Lepisosteus oculatus: one gene and its partner. The protein of the gene in region 2 binds, or shares a complex with, the protein of the main gene of each other region. Links are inferred from orthologs where the notes say so. Each region holds a gene or a part of one and is shown on either strand. Other genes may lie near its edges.

Region 1 (7,524 bases), on a different chromosome or scaffold from region 2:
AAAGGAGTAAACACCGGGACTTAAAAGGTTCAGAGAAAATAACTTGTATGATTACTGGATTAATTACACGATCATAGTCATGTTTTCGATTTTAAGTTTGATTGTAATTTTAACAAAGGCCTGTTCTTTTTTTCTATCTTAGAAGTTGTAATATATGCATGAATGAATTGTCCAAATACCCAATATACAACAAAATATGTACAGACTGTTACATTAGCTACCATCTCTGCTGCCAGAGACTCACAGACTCGGCAATTTTAAAACCTGCTCTTGCATCGGGACTCCTCTGTCTGGCCACGCTTGCCTTTGTCTTCAAATGGCCTGGTTTGCACTGTGCATTGGGCATCTTCTGATTAACTTCGAGAAACTCATGTCCCGTGCAGATCTGGTCAAGCATTTGCACCCCTGTTACATCATCAGGGTCTGATCATCTGATCTGCAGTTTCACACTGGATTCCAGCTTACCTTTAACAGCAGTGCTTGGCTCTGCCGCTCATCTTGCAGGACAGACTAATGTAAGAAAGAGAAACAAACAGATCATGTGAAAAGGGAAAAGTACTTTCCAAAAACTATTCCGTTTCCAGGTTGGTGAATTTTTCTATTTCATTATTAAGGCACTGGAAATCCTTCTCTACCTTTAAGGCATCCCTGGTGCCTCTGTAGTCTTCCTGCAAGTAACACTGCAACACCTGGACACTCTGCTGTTCATCAAGGCCCTGGAATACAGTAAATATACCATGTTGACATGACAAATCTGTGGCAATTTATTATCTCAATGGCAAAACAAAATCTGATGTTGCACATTCTCCATATCACAGGCTGCAATAGTACAATTTCTAATTACTTTATTAATACAAGTAGTTAATTTAATCAATTGCAAGAACTTGAATATGCTTCAGCACCTCTTAAAGAATAACAGAGCATTTTAAAGCACACAATCTCATTTAAAAAAAACTCACAAAGGTTAAAGATTATTTTTCACAAAAATAAACGTAAAGAACGCATAGCCAATGTAGGCATGTGTAGGTCAGGCACTATAACATTCCAATTACATACCGTATTGTACTAATTGGATTAAAGAATATGTTTGACATAAAATTCTGCATAATAATATAAAATTCCATCCAAAGGTAATTTATATTTTACACTTACCTAAACAGGAGATGTAATCCATTCTCAAAGATTACATTTACAAATAAATCTCATAACACTCACCAATAATTTACTGATTCTGAGACCAAAGTCTTTCAGTGGCTGGGCAACTTCTTTATCTGACTTCAGTTTTTCTGCAGCCGATGAACTAGAAAAAGAGAGATGCAAATATCAGATTACTGAATTAACTGATTTTAGATGTTTTGATTCTACGCTCTGTTGTCTGAATAATAGCAAACATATCTGCTTTGATCTTAATCATATATTGTACATTTGAACTATGATGCTATATAAAAAGGTTTACCTTTACAAAATAAGTGTTTATCAACAGCATACCTAGGTGGTTTGTAGTAACATAATCCTGATAGCAACCGCTCCCAGTTTCTGTCAAGCTCTGCTTCAATCTGGGCCTATTATTGAAAGATAAAACACGAATGCAGATAATAATGACAAACACATACAGCTACGCCTGTGATTCCAACAACAGTTACAGTTAAGAAAATCTAAAATACTCTAGATTTAGCTTTAATGAAAACCAAAGAAGAATATTCAGGTATCTATGACTGACTTCTTTATACATTCTCCTTATCCTAATAATTACATTTTATTTAAAAAATCACCAGTCACAGACTGCTCCCTTTGTGTGGATAAGAATGTTGCAACATTTTTCTCAATGTTTATTCACAGCATTAACAGGTTTTCAAGAAAATTGCTAGGCGGCATAGCAAGTTTCCCTGATCTTCATACATGTTTTCGGAGATGTAAATGGGAGTCATATGAACAAATTATGTAACAATACCAAAACCAAGAAAAAAAAACAAAATTGCACTGCTGATAATCATTTTTTAATTAAAGGGTTGCATATTCATGCAAACAGAATACGGAAAAAAACGTTACCGGTTCCCTCAAAGCCGATCTTCCCAACAAGATCGTCCAAAGTTCTCTGCTGGTCCTACAAAAATAAACGCATTCATCCCTATAAAAGTGACGAAAATAATCATAAATGACATTCCACGCACTTATACTTAGAGATAAACGTGAACATTTAAAAGCTTACACATCTGCGGCATATTAACACTGTTACGTACATTTCACATCTCACTGGTACGTCTGGACGCTACACACGATTTTTAGGGTCAGAAATAAGGAAAAAAAATACTTTACTCCAAAGTTGAAAGTGTCAAAATCAGATTCAAGTTACTGTATGTTCAAACCTCCGCGTTCAACTGTTTTGACATTTCTCGGCAGTTCTGTGTTAATGGAAGTTACAACATTTTGACAGTATACGTTTGTTTTCTTTTAAATTGTCTTTATTAAAGGGATGCAGCGTAACGGATCGTCCTTCGCATGAATTTTAGGAACCAATAGCCTACATTCATTCAAAGAACTAGGCACGTTTTCAATCTAGTTTTTAAGCAATTACTTCTGTTATAACATTGGCAATAAACCTAGATAATAGGACCACCGTACTATATAGTCTCAACAAGTTTTTTCTATACTGTTAATTGTTCTTGATCCGAACATTATTGGAGTATCTCGGAACATGGTACTTGTTATATACATATTTCCTGCCAATGAGAATAAGAAGCAATGTTAACTGCCTTCTAAAAAATTTCACTAACATGCGGCAGAAAACAGCACACATTTTTCCCTCCACATTGTAATAGCCATCCCATTTATAAAAGTAAGAACTAAAAGGAAAACGTCCAAACGTCTAAATAACTATTCATTCATTTCATTTTATCCTTCCTCATTACATTTCCCATTCAGACATGATCAGTTTTGTACAATGCCATACATTAAAAGAACACTTTTGCTTTTCTTTCAAGTACCTGACACACATCTCCGAGTCCGCCATATTCCCCCCTACACGTGACACCTCCTCCGGTCGAACACCCTGGTCATGTGACGGGTGCCCCGGGTTGGAAAGAATAAAAAAAACACTTCCGAAGCCGGCAACTGAGATGCGATCACTGTGTAGGAAGCAGAAAATAAAATCCGCCCTATTCATGTGATCAAGCTGTCAACATGGCCGCCTCCTAGATGTTAAAGACTAAAAAAAAAATTATACGATCGAATGAAAGTACGCACAAAACGTGTTATGATCGCGGTGGACATGTGAAGTAAGTTAATTAACACATTTTATGATATCTGGGTAGTGTTATCAGTTGGCTTTTGCAAATTCATGGGGATGTTGCTTGCATGTCAGATATCTTGTACCTTGCACCCAGTTCCGTTATGTTGTAATTTCATACAATCGATTGGCTACCAACCAGTCTTGTTAAACCACAAAAGGCCTCAGTTAAAGCGGACTCGAATGCATTTACCGTGGAGCTCTTAAATATCCATGCGTTTCTCGTGTTTTCAATTTTGAAGCTTTTAACTATGGATAGGAAATTACGCACCTGCAGCCAAAAAACGCTGTCTGAAATACATTGTTTTATACAATAGCCGTTTAACAATGTCAGTACTAGTCTACTTCAGTGGAGTGGTTTTATGAAAAAGCACAGCGTTAAGGTAAGCTGACTGTCAAATTGTTACATGTTTCACAAGCTTTGTTAGGAACAGAGTGGTGTTTGAAACAAAGAGCATTAATGTTTTAAAGAGAGGAGGCCATCCTGCTGATCTAAGTCGCTTGGGTGATACCGATACAGTACTAAGCTAAGTGATCCGAGGATTTCGTCGGGCTGCGTCTTGAAAGACGACATTACACGACCATAAAAGAACGTTTTTATTCTCTTCTAACCGGATACTCCGCGGATGTGTGATGACGAAGAGTTTTATTAAATGTTTTATTACGTGGGGAGTAAAAGCACGTTTCCATGATTTGCTTACTTTTATTACGACAGAATTGTAGTATTTTGCCCTGGCCGTTGGCATTTCTAATTGGTGACGTCTCTCGTGTCCGTGAGGGTACATCGGCTTGCAAATACGCTATAGAAAAAGTGACAGAATTATAGAGTTAAATCATTCCACCGACCGAGACTAACACTGTAATATATATATATATCGATAGGTGGCGTAAGAATGAAGAATGGAAAAATGTGAAGCATTACATCAAGGAAGTGGCCTGCCCTGGATGCAAGAAAATACCGATAAATAGCAGTTTTGAGAAGCACCCCTGAAGCTGCAGGATCTGCAACCATGCTGACGAATCCTGTGTTCGTGGAGTCAGTTATTGTTTTCACTATTGTTTTGTGTGTCCATTTTGTGGTTTGGAATCAGCTGTCATGGTGTTCCATTGCCTTGGCCATTCAAGCCTTCTATGTCCAGTACAAATGGGACCGCCTCCTGAAATCTGGCGGGGCTGTGTTTCAGTTCAGACCCTCTGCGAACAGTGGCATCCTGCCCGCTTGCATGATCATGCCTCTACTTGGCCTGGCCCTGAAAGAGCGCTGCCAAGCCTCCGGAAATGTGTACTTCGAGCGCTTTTCAATGGTGGTCACCGCGACAGGGATGATGCTGGCTCTGTTTCTCTCCCTGATTGCCCTCGGCATCACCAGGCCTGTGCCGACCAACACCTGTGTCATTTCTGGCATTGCTGGTAGCGCCGTGATCTACACGATCAAGCAAACCCTAACGGTCTCTGAAGTCATTGAAGTGCTGGAGGTGCTTCTGATCTTCGTCTACCTCAGCCTGATCATTCTGTACCTCCTGCCTCGCTGCTTCACTCCTGGTGAGGGCCTCATCATCATCGGTGGTATTAGCTTCATCATCAACCAGCTCATTAAGCGCTCCCTGAATGCCCCTGAATCCAAAGGAGATCCCATCAACTACTTCCTGCTAGTGATCGTGGTTGGATGTCTCTTGCTGGGGATCTTCTTCACCCTGCTCTTCTGCTTCATGGAGTCGGAGACCTGGGTGTCCTCCCTGTTTTTCCACATGATGACGGCAGTTCTTGGCTTGGGGATTATCATGCCATGGCTTGCCCTCCTGATCCGAAGGCACCCCTTAATGTGGCTGATCGACTTCCTCCTCCTGAGTCAGAACAGACTCTGCCTGCTGGCCTACTGGGTCCTGCTGGCAGTGCTGGCGTCTCTGGTGGTGTTCCACCAGAACTACAAGAGGTCTTTGGGGTCCAAGAAGCACCAGGCCTCTACAGTCGTGAGGAAGTACTTCCATTTCATTGTGGTGGCCACGTACGTGCCCGGGCTGATTTACGACCGTCAGCTTCTGCACGTCGCCTCCGTCACCTGCTTGGCCGCCTTCCTCCTCCTGGAGTACGTCCGCTACTTTCGGATCAGACCCGTCGGGCACCTCCTCCGGCAGCTGCTGTCTCTGTTCCTGGATGAGCGAGACTCCGGGCCCCTCATCCTCACCCACATCTACCTTCTCCTCGGGATGTCCCTTCCCATATGGCTGTACCCTGGACCCTGCATGCCTAAAGGAAGCCTCCCAGGAGTGGGGGGACTGGTGCCCTATGCTGGTGTGCTGGCCGTCGGTGTTGGGGACACTATGGCATCTGTGTTCGGCAGCACCATGGGAGAGGTCCGGTGGCCCGGGACCAAGAAGACCATGGAAGGGACAGCCACTTCGATCTTCGCCCAGATTATTGCTATTGCTCTTTTCCTCATTTTTGATGAGGCCATTAACTTGAACACCAGCTATGCTTGGATAGTAGGATCAGTCACACTGGTTTCTTTACTAGAGGCCTACACAGCCCAGATAGACAACCTCCTACTACCCCTTTACCTTTTTATACTGCTCATGCTATGAAGGTAAAAGAACATTAAAAGCCCTTTCATTTTTTTAATGCTTGTACTGTATCTCCTTACAGTACTGAACAGAAAGTCATATTGAAAATATTCCAACAGTTCAGGGGTTTGAGGAGTTTGAATCAAATTGCATTTCTACATTTACTGCTATTTTTTTGAAGGCAAAGCAGCTTTAGCTTTGGAATGAGAAGAATACTGCACTCTAAGGCTAGCTGTACTTGAAAGCACTTTGGTTAATCAACACTGGCCACTTCAACACTACAGCAAGAGTAAGATATTTAAGGCAGATTAATCACAATTCAGTATAGTTATGGGTGGTCATAGCAACATAAGAAGTAAAAAAAATGCTATTTAGTGTCTCTGTGGCAGTGTTAGTTTTTCTATTGTTTGGGTAGAATTTAGGAATTGTATTTTGTCAAAATAGCGCTGATAGTACTTTAGCAGTTTTGTTCCTGAGTGAGTATTAAAAGGGGAGGCTCAATATACTTACTGTAATATATCCCTTTGCAGTTCCAGCTAGCGCACGAGTCCCAAAAGTATTTCATAATATTTTTTTCAGATGGTGCACAGCAAAGAGAAGTCAAAATACTGTTTTTCATTTTGTAATATGTAGTTTAGAATCAGTTTACATCTGACAACAATTACACCACCTAGTGATTATGGAAGTAAATTGTGAATGGTGATGATGCCTTTTCCTTAATCAAATGTACATTTTTCTCACCCTAAAGCTTAAGCTTTATTGAGGAATTTTTTACTTGAATTTCTCCGTTCCATGTTTCCTCAGCTTTTAACATGATTGCAGCAGATATTTGTCAAACCACTATTTTTTTTTCAGAATGTAAATTTGTCTTTCTCATTTCTGTGGAAGTACTAGAAATATTAAGACTTGGATGTGAAAAAGCATTGTGAATACTATATCATTACGGGCACCGAATTTAGCTAGAGAAAAATGTAATAATTGAAAGTATAGATATGTGATCTATTTAGTTTTTATTAGACATTTTATATGACTGAACAAGTACTAAAAATAACAATTTCAGTGGTGGAACCTTCTTCAGGTTTTTATATAAAGGTTTTTAGGTTCTTCTGCATAACCTAATATAAGCTACAGATTTAAAACCTTGAAAATAGACCTCAGTTCTGTATTTGTATTTCCTCTTATAGCTGTCAAGGAATTCCCTTGACTACAGTTAAGTTTGGCCACCAATCATACGAGTAAACACGACTGCCTTAAATATGTCTTCTCTAAGACCAGCATGTAGTAAACTATCTTTTGCCTCTACTTTGGCTTGTAAGTGAGTTGCCATGCTCTGCATACTCACTAGATGGCAATATGCTACATCACTAAGCCAGTCTTCTCAAAGTACTGTAAAATATATCTATTATTTAAACAACATTTAAAAAGTCACTTGTGCATTATGTAACACTGTCATACAGAGGGAGGACACATAGTTTAGTTTCTAATTAGGAAAATTCTAGCTAGCTAAGATTCTACAACCTTCTTTCTGTTATATTCACTGAAGATTGATCTACATATCCTTAATGTTAATTGCTGTTGCAACACACTAGTAATGTCTACAAAAATAAATAGTATCCCAGGTTGCCCTTATTTTACTTTTCAATTGTCCATTTTTTATTTAAAAAAACACCAGATTTG
Region 2 (7,034 bases):
TTGTAACATTAAAACTCGATCACACAATACTAGGTTTAATTTATAATGTTGCTTCAGTTTCTAAATTAGTACTCGGAAATAGACTGCTCCTTAAATTTTGGACACTAATGTAACAGGTGAAGATAAACTACAACGTAACAAATGAAAAGAATGAAAAAATATGGGCTCACTTCAAGTGCTCTCAGGATGCCTGGATACTCAAGCAGAGATACTTTCAAGCAATTATGATGATCTTTATTTGTGTCTTTGTGAAACAGATTACTTGATCTCTACAGGCAGCTTTAAAGACCCAGATGAAGAGCAAATGTGCTCACCTTACAGTGCGTAGCGGTGGAGTCATCGAAATGAAAGATCAGTGAAATGAAGATGCAAAACACGAAGCCGATGAGCGGCAGGCAGACGGTGCCCACGATGAAGGTCGTGAAACGCAGCCGGAAGACCGGGCTATCTCGATCTGGACCACCAAGCCCCTGAAGCATCCTGCCACAGAGGTATGGACAGTATGTTAATGTGTAATACTGTGCAGTATTTCATGCATTTATGATGCAATGATAACCAACATGCAGACAACAACTACCTGTAACATTTGTAAGTTGTAAAACATGTAGTACAAAATTGAACACATTAAGTAGCTAGGTGAAATATGTTATCTTAACGAACGTGTAAGTATATATTAAGTAACTGCTCGATCTATTTTTTTTCTCGTACATTTCACATATCGACTGCTGCATAGATTGTAGTCGTTAATGATACTATCATTAAGAAGAATAACGAGGAATACATGTACATGACAAATCGTAGAGTCATTTGGATACTCCAAAACACATTCGTATTAAGCAAAACTGTTATGTTATGGCACTGTTATGGTGTACAATAAATTACATAACAATGTCAAGTACAGTAATTGCTAACTCCATGTTATGGCCTATTCAGACGTTCCAGCCAGGGACTGGAGTTCTGTACCTTATCCGGCAGACAGGCTTGGGAGCCGAAAAAGTCTGGAGCAGAACACGGCCGCCACGGACGCGACAGACTAAGCGATCGCTGAATGAAGCATCATCATGGACACGCACTAGAACAGTGGCAAGTGCAGTTCTGTTTCTATTTGAAATTGCAAAAGAATCATTGAATGAACACTCAGAGAGAGAAAAAAAACAATTTAGGAAGAAAAAATATGTGGGTGAGTACTCTTCTCTAACAGCTGATCTGTTCCTGGCAAAGCTGGTAGATTTATAAAACCCGAGCGTAATAAAATCAATTGAGTTCGTGATGTTGCAGAATGCATGAAACGAAACCTCAGCGTGTCTGTGTGACTGTGACTATGTCCCCGGAAGAAGCAAAGCACTCACACAGGTGTCAGGCTCTTTAAAGAGACAGGCTCCCAAAAGCGGAACGAAATACTCCAACGTTTCTTAACGACGTACAGTACGAGTGCTTGTACTGTACTTCTTTCCCGTCAAAAAGCGAGATGTTGCAAACGTAGAACTAACTTCTACGCATATTGCAATTTATAATCTCCTTTTCCTTGAATTTTCGACCAAGCCATTTTCTGGCCTGCATTCAAAAAGCAAACTTTTTCTTTCGTTTACTGCATTTTGTTACATATTTCATTTAAAACATTAACAACACTTACAATTGGACATATTACTTACATTGCTTGACTCGTTTCTAGAACATGTAACATCCCAGGAGACACGACCTTTTATAAAATTCAGTTTCTAAGAATGTAGTTTTTGATCCACAAAATACAGATCATCTGTGTGCTCAGAAATTCCTATTTATGTTAAAGATATATATTGCAAGATTAAAAACTAACTAAAACGGTAAGAGAAGGAAGGTTTATACCCTTTCACATTTTAAAGAAAGAATATAGCATTATTTTATTAAAGAAATTAGAGTTAATATTGATCAAGGTGTTTCATCCAGCCCTCACAGACAAGAGTTTTTTTTTAATATGAACAGATTATTTTGGCTTTACTGTACTATTGGTTAATACATCTTTAGAAACAGGTGATCTGTAAGACCCAGGATAGAGACATGTTCTACAGAAAGTGGTTCCCATCCTAGGTCCTGAGAGACCAATGTCACTTCTTGGTTTTGCCCAATCCAAGTTCTTAATCACAGGCTAAATTGAGCATATTTTAAAATTTGCTTTCAGCTTTTAAAAGGTCAAATGGGATTTGTAATTGGCATTAACACGGTACCTCTGTGCCAAAGCTGTGTTGTATGAAATGTACTCAATTAATCCTCTGCTGAAGGAAAAATAAAAGCTCAATGTGAGTGTCTGCTACAGTGTCATTTTCATCTGTGTGTTTTATTAAAAATCAATCACATATTAACACATTGTAGAGAGGCTACTCCATGTTCTGTATGCTGGAGCCGTTGGAAACCCTATCCTTCTATATCTCCTGACTGAGTATTGAAATAGCCTGAAAGCCTGTGCTTGCAAGCAGAGCAGTTAAAGTCATCAATTAGTACTGAAGATGTGGAGCTTAGCTGGTAGGGAAGCCAGCAGACACAGTGGTGCCCCAGGGACAAGGTTTGGGAAGTTTGTTCTTCCACATTCCTGGGTCAATACAAAGGGGAAACTCCATTACTTATAGCTGGCAGCTATATCACTCTGCGAATCACAACTGGTAACCCACTAACGCTAAGCAGGTGTGAGCCTGGCCATTACCTGGCTAGAAGAGGTGTTACTGGGAACAGTAGGGAACACTCACCCTGCGGTCAGGGTGGGTCTTAATGCCCCAGTATGGTGACGGGGACACTATACTGTAAATAGGTTCCATCCTTCAGATGAGATGTAAAACCTTAATCATAATGACACTCCATAGTGCTAAAAAAACCCAGGGCATTTTTCAAAAAGATTAAGGGGTATAACCCCATTGATCTAGTTAAATTTGCCTCTGGCCTTTAACCAGACACGGTCTCATAAGAATCCCCATTTATGAATTGACCTCATTACTCAGTTCTCTTCCCCCCTGATAGCTGATGTGTGGTGAGCATACTGGTGCACTTTGGCTGCTGTTGCATCATCTAGGTGGGGGCTACACATTGGTAGTGGTGGAGGAGGGAGTCCCCATTACCTGTAAAGCACTTTGAGTGAAGTGTCCAGAAAATGAAAGATACTGAAAGTGGAACTATTGTGTAACTAGTGTAAGTGGGGATTATTATAACTTGCGACTCGTAACATACCTCCAGAAAGCCCACATTTATTTAAAGTTGGTGAGAAAATTAAATTTGGGTCTGATTGTCACTCTACTTTTGGAACTTGCTTTACTTTTTGGAATAATTTCCAAATATGGTAAATCCAACCACCATAATGCAAGTACACATTAAAAAATACATTTATCATACAGCTGTAGATAAGGGGAGACTGGTGCTGCCAAGACAGACCCGTGAAAACTGCAGGACTGTAGCCCCCCAGGACCTCAGCGAGGCACAATAGTGTTAGGACATGGGGAACACATGACCAGGGAGCTACAGTATGTTTTTCATAGGATATGGGATCAAAAAAAACTGAAGACCGTTATATAAATCTGGAACAAAGTTACAACCCCGCAATTGATCCTATAAAACGGTAGCATCGATCGAAGACTACAATAAGACAACTTGCCTCTACTTTTACCCACCCGAATGAAATACAGCGCATTCATCCACCAAGTGAATCACGACTGCGAATGACTCACTATTCAAAAACGGTCGTGACTAGAGGAAGCGACGAATTCCACTCGAGCTGCACAGCAACACATGATCACGTACGGCCGTCCAGACCCGAACAGATTTAACATAAGCGGCCGGTCGCTGCCAACAGCCAATAAACTGGGACTTCGCTCCTAAGGCCTCCGAATGGAGGCGGGACACCAATTCAAACTCTACCCAGTCGCGAAAGTGCAATAGATTTACAAGCTGATGGGCGACAGTGTTGTCCAATAATATTTCAGATCCATCTGCAGTAGACGTCAGAAAGAGGTCGACATATTACGTACTGACGTAGTTTGCGTACTGCTTGGCCTTTCAAAGGTAAATTACGCAGTTTCTCTCTTCCTTGGGCGATATTGAAAAAAATATATATCGATATTGGACACTGTGGATAGTGAGCTACATAAATATCATCTTGTATTCGGACCGCTTTTGCTGGAAGAACACCTGAGGAAGATATTGAGTGGGCTTCTGAATAATACGGTAAGAAATATCGCTACTTTGTAATATTTGGTTAATTTGCACGTTTCTCTGTGGTTGGCCTTTTTAATTTGCATAAACGTGGCAGCTTCAGTTGTTAATCCTGAAGTACAATGAGAAAATATATTCCAGGGGAATATTGTAATTGCCAACGTACTTAAATGCGTGTCTGCGAAGCTTGTCTGCCTGCAAGCATATGCGACCAAGTTTGTGTTGGCTTAGCACTTTTATGTCGCAAGTGTGCATTTTATAATAATTCACATTCTTTGCTTCAGTTTCAGGTAGCAAGTGATCGGGGCACATTTTAATAAATCAAAAGAAACACCAAATACTGTAACATTGCTTGGTATCTCCTTCCAGCGTTCTCGTTTGTTTAGATAGCGATTTCATTTTTTTTTAAAAAACCGGTTTGTTCTGGTTCCTTCCAGCACGATCGGTCGAAACGCACCTAAAATGTTTGTTTTGGTATGCTTTAAGGAAGTAACCTAGGATCTTCGAAACCCCAATTCGTGCCCTGAATTGAGGCTTGTATGTGGTTGCCGCTGAAACCTTGTGCTTTAGGCCTCGACCATCGGTTCTGGCGCCTCTTCAGCGTCTTCCTGTAAACAAATCCAGCTTTAACGCGCAGAATAACCCACCATAGAAACGACTTCAAACTCCCGGAGTGATTTGTTGACAGTGTTAATTTTGCACGGTGGCTAAGAACGGTTCGCAAAATGTAGTGTTTGCCGATTCACCCGCTGTGTAATGAACTCGAATGCCGCTACATACACTTCAACAGCTCCGATCCAAGTCAACGTTTTTTTTTTTCAATCGTTCTCCTGCAGTGTTTCAGTCTTGGCTCCCGTTTGAACGTGTTTGTGCTTCCTGAAGTCTCAAAAAGGGTGTTTAGCCATTGACGTTTTCACTATTTTACTCTTTGGGGGAAAAATACGTTGTGGAAGTTCTGGGTTTTTTTTTTTGCTACCTCGATACATTTTGTTCTGTGCCGGTGCTGACTTCCAAACGAGCACTGGTAAGTTGTACTAAGGGAATGAAACGAAAACATATTTATTAGCAGTTGCCATTTCGACGCTATAAATGTGAGACTTTGTAGTTGTCTTGACGGGTTCATGAGCGAAATAAGGCTACCTCGGTATGGGTTTATGTAAAGTCGTGGAATATAAACAGTAAGAATGCCTCGACAGTTGAGATGAATATTCCATGCATTTGTCAGTTTTTTTTTATGTGACTCATACGTTAACAAAATGTGCCGAAGGTTTCTAACAGTATTTTGAATTGTTCTTCACAGACGTATGCAGTCCTGATAGGAACCGAATATGTTCAACAAAGCGTTTGGAACTCCTTTTGGAGGAGGAACTGGTGGCTTTGGAACTTCCTCCACGTTTGGACAGAGTAAGTTGCTACTTTTGCGCTGTTATTGCAGTTATAAATTCATTATTGTACTTCCATTTCATACTGGAAACATAGAACAGATTACATACTACTGTTAAGATGCTGCGCATTGACAAGTCATGGAGGGTGGTGGTGCATATAAGAAGCAAGGACAGTGAAAATAAAAGTGCTTAATGTCCATTTTAGCTTAAGGTGGAGCCTGTAAATGGATACAGGTAGGTTTGGTTTGTGGAATGTATCTCTTATCTCCTTGTCAACTTGTGTTGACATTGTTTTCAGAATCACTATTTTACAGCTTGCCTTACCGTGTATTTGTGTCTTTGTAGCTGATATCAGGCATGGAACAATGCTGGTGTTTGTGTACTATACTTTGATTTACACCTATTGGAAAGCAGTCAATCCTCAAAGATAAAGGAAAATGGTCAAACATGTCATGATATGGAGTTTTTGTTAGAAGAATCCTGTCCCGCATGTGATATAAAAACTAGAATTCCACAATAGTTTAATGTTAATGACACCAAATACACATATTCTAAAAGAAGAATGTATCTAATGCAATTAGACAAGGTCAAGCCAGATAGAGGCACCTAGAACACAGTTAAGTACACTTTATTGGAGTATCCCACTACAGTTTGTGCAAAAGACAAATGCAGTGAAAACAAGCTTGCCAGCTCTCTGCCAATGAGGGTGTGACTTTATAATGTTTATTGTATTGCCACTACTCTTTGTAAGTCCTCATCCCAAAGAAGTCTTCATGAAGTCCCAAGGTCCCCAGAATGAGCCCTGGCCACCCTGGCAGATGTAGCTTCTACTATCGGTCCCCCACTGCTGCCAGGTTGGAGCGAAGGCAGATGGTGGTTAATCTATGCACTGCCGAAAGACAGCTGTTGTCATTCGAAGTGTCTGAAAAACAAAATGGTCGCAATTTCAACTTCTTTTGCAGATTCTGGGTTTGGATCTACAGGTGGGTTTGGGACTTCAGCTTTTGGGTCCACTAATAACACTGGAGGACTATTTGGGAACACCCAGAATAAACCAGGTTTGCACCTTAAATTTCCCATTGTCATTTTGTCTTAGGTTTATTTTGCAACCAGTCCTGGTTTTACACGTTGTCCATGGATATGTTTGCTTTGAGATGTGAAAGTTTTACAAGTCAACAAAATTCATTCTTATCAACATCAAATGCAGAATCCTTATTGCTTAAAGTACGTTATAAACAAAGAGATTTCCAAACTGTGAAAATATGTAACAGGATTTGCAATGATAGTGTTAAAGTGCTATACTTGTTTTGGTAGTTAATATAACTCATTGACCAATATAACTTGCATCAGTTGGCACAGAATACATTTTTTCTACACTCTTATACCATAATATTGGGATACTTATTATTTTCAGTAAGACTATTGGATATAGTGTCACGATCAAGTGATACCTCTTTATGACTTCATACTATATTT

Evidence for each region. Proteins that work in one complex are often made in the same cells at the same time.
Region 1: nup98 (region 2) and nup188 share a complex: the UniProt entries of both Homo sapiens proteins name them as parts of the nuclear pore complex. The link is inferred for Lepisosteus oculatus from reciprocal best matches to the Homo sapiens genes NUP98 and NUP188.

Annotation. Positions count from the first base shown.
Region 1 is NC_090719.1:7,421,513-7,429,036, reverse strand, and holds the start of nup188 (nucleoporin NUP188), read right to left. Parts: upstream 3,046-7,524; 5' UTR 3,011-3,045; coding exon 2,985-3,010; intron 2,105-2,984; coding exon 2,050-2,104; intron 1,563-2,049; coding exon 1,489-1,562; intron 1,301-1,488; coding exon 1,216-1,300; intron 717-1,215; coding exon 636-716; intron 511-635; coding exon 466-510; intron 1-465. Other genes in the region: dolk (dolichol kinase), read left to right, coding at 4,297-5,868. UniProt on the Homo sapiens protein: Component of the nuclear pore complex (NPC), a complex required for the trafficking across the nuclear envelope. Required for proper protein transport into the nucleus.
Region 2 is NC_090700.1:12,972,322-12,979,355, forward strand, and holds the start of nup98 (nuclear pore complex protein Nup98-Nup96), read left to right. Parts: upstream 1-3,999; 5' UTR 4,000-4,185; intron 4,186-4,713; exon of another isoform or gene 4,714-5,197; intron 5,198-5,473; 5' UTR 5,474-5,501; coding exon 5,502-5,577; intron 5,578-6,520; coding exon 6,521-6,616; intron 6,617-7,034. Other genes in the region: pgap2 (post-GPI attachment to proteins factor 2), read right to left, coding at 315-480, 964-1,101, 3,633-3,652. UniProt on the Homo sapiens protein: Plays a role in the nuclear pore complex (NPC) assembly and/or maintenance. NUP98 and NUP96 are involved in the bidirectional transport across the NPC. May anchor NUP153 and TPR to the NPC.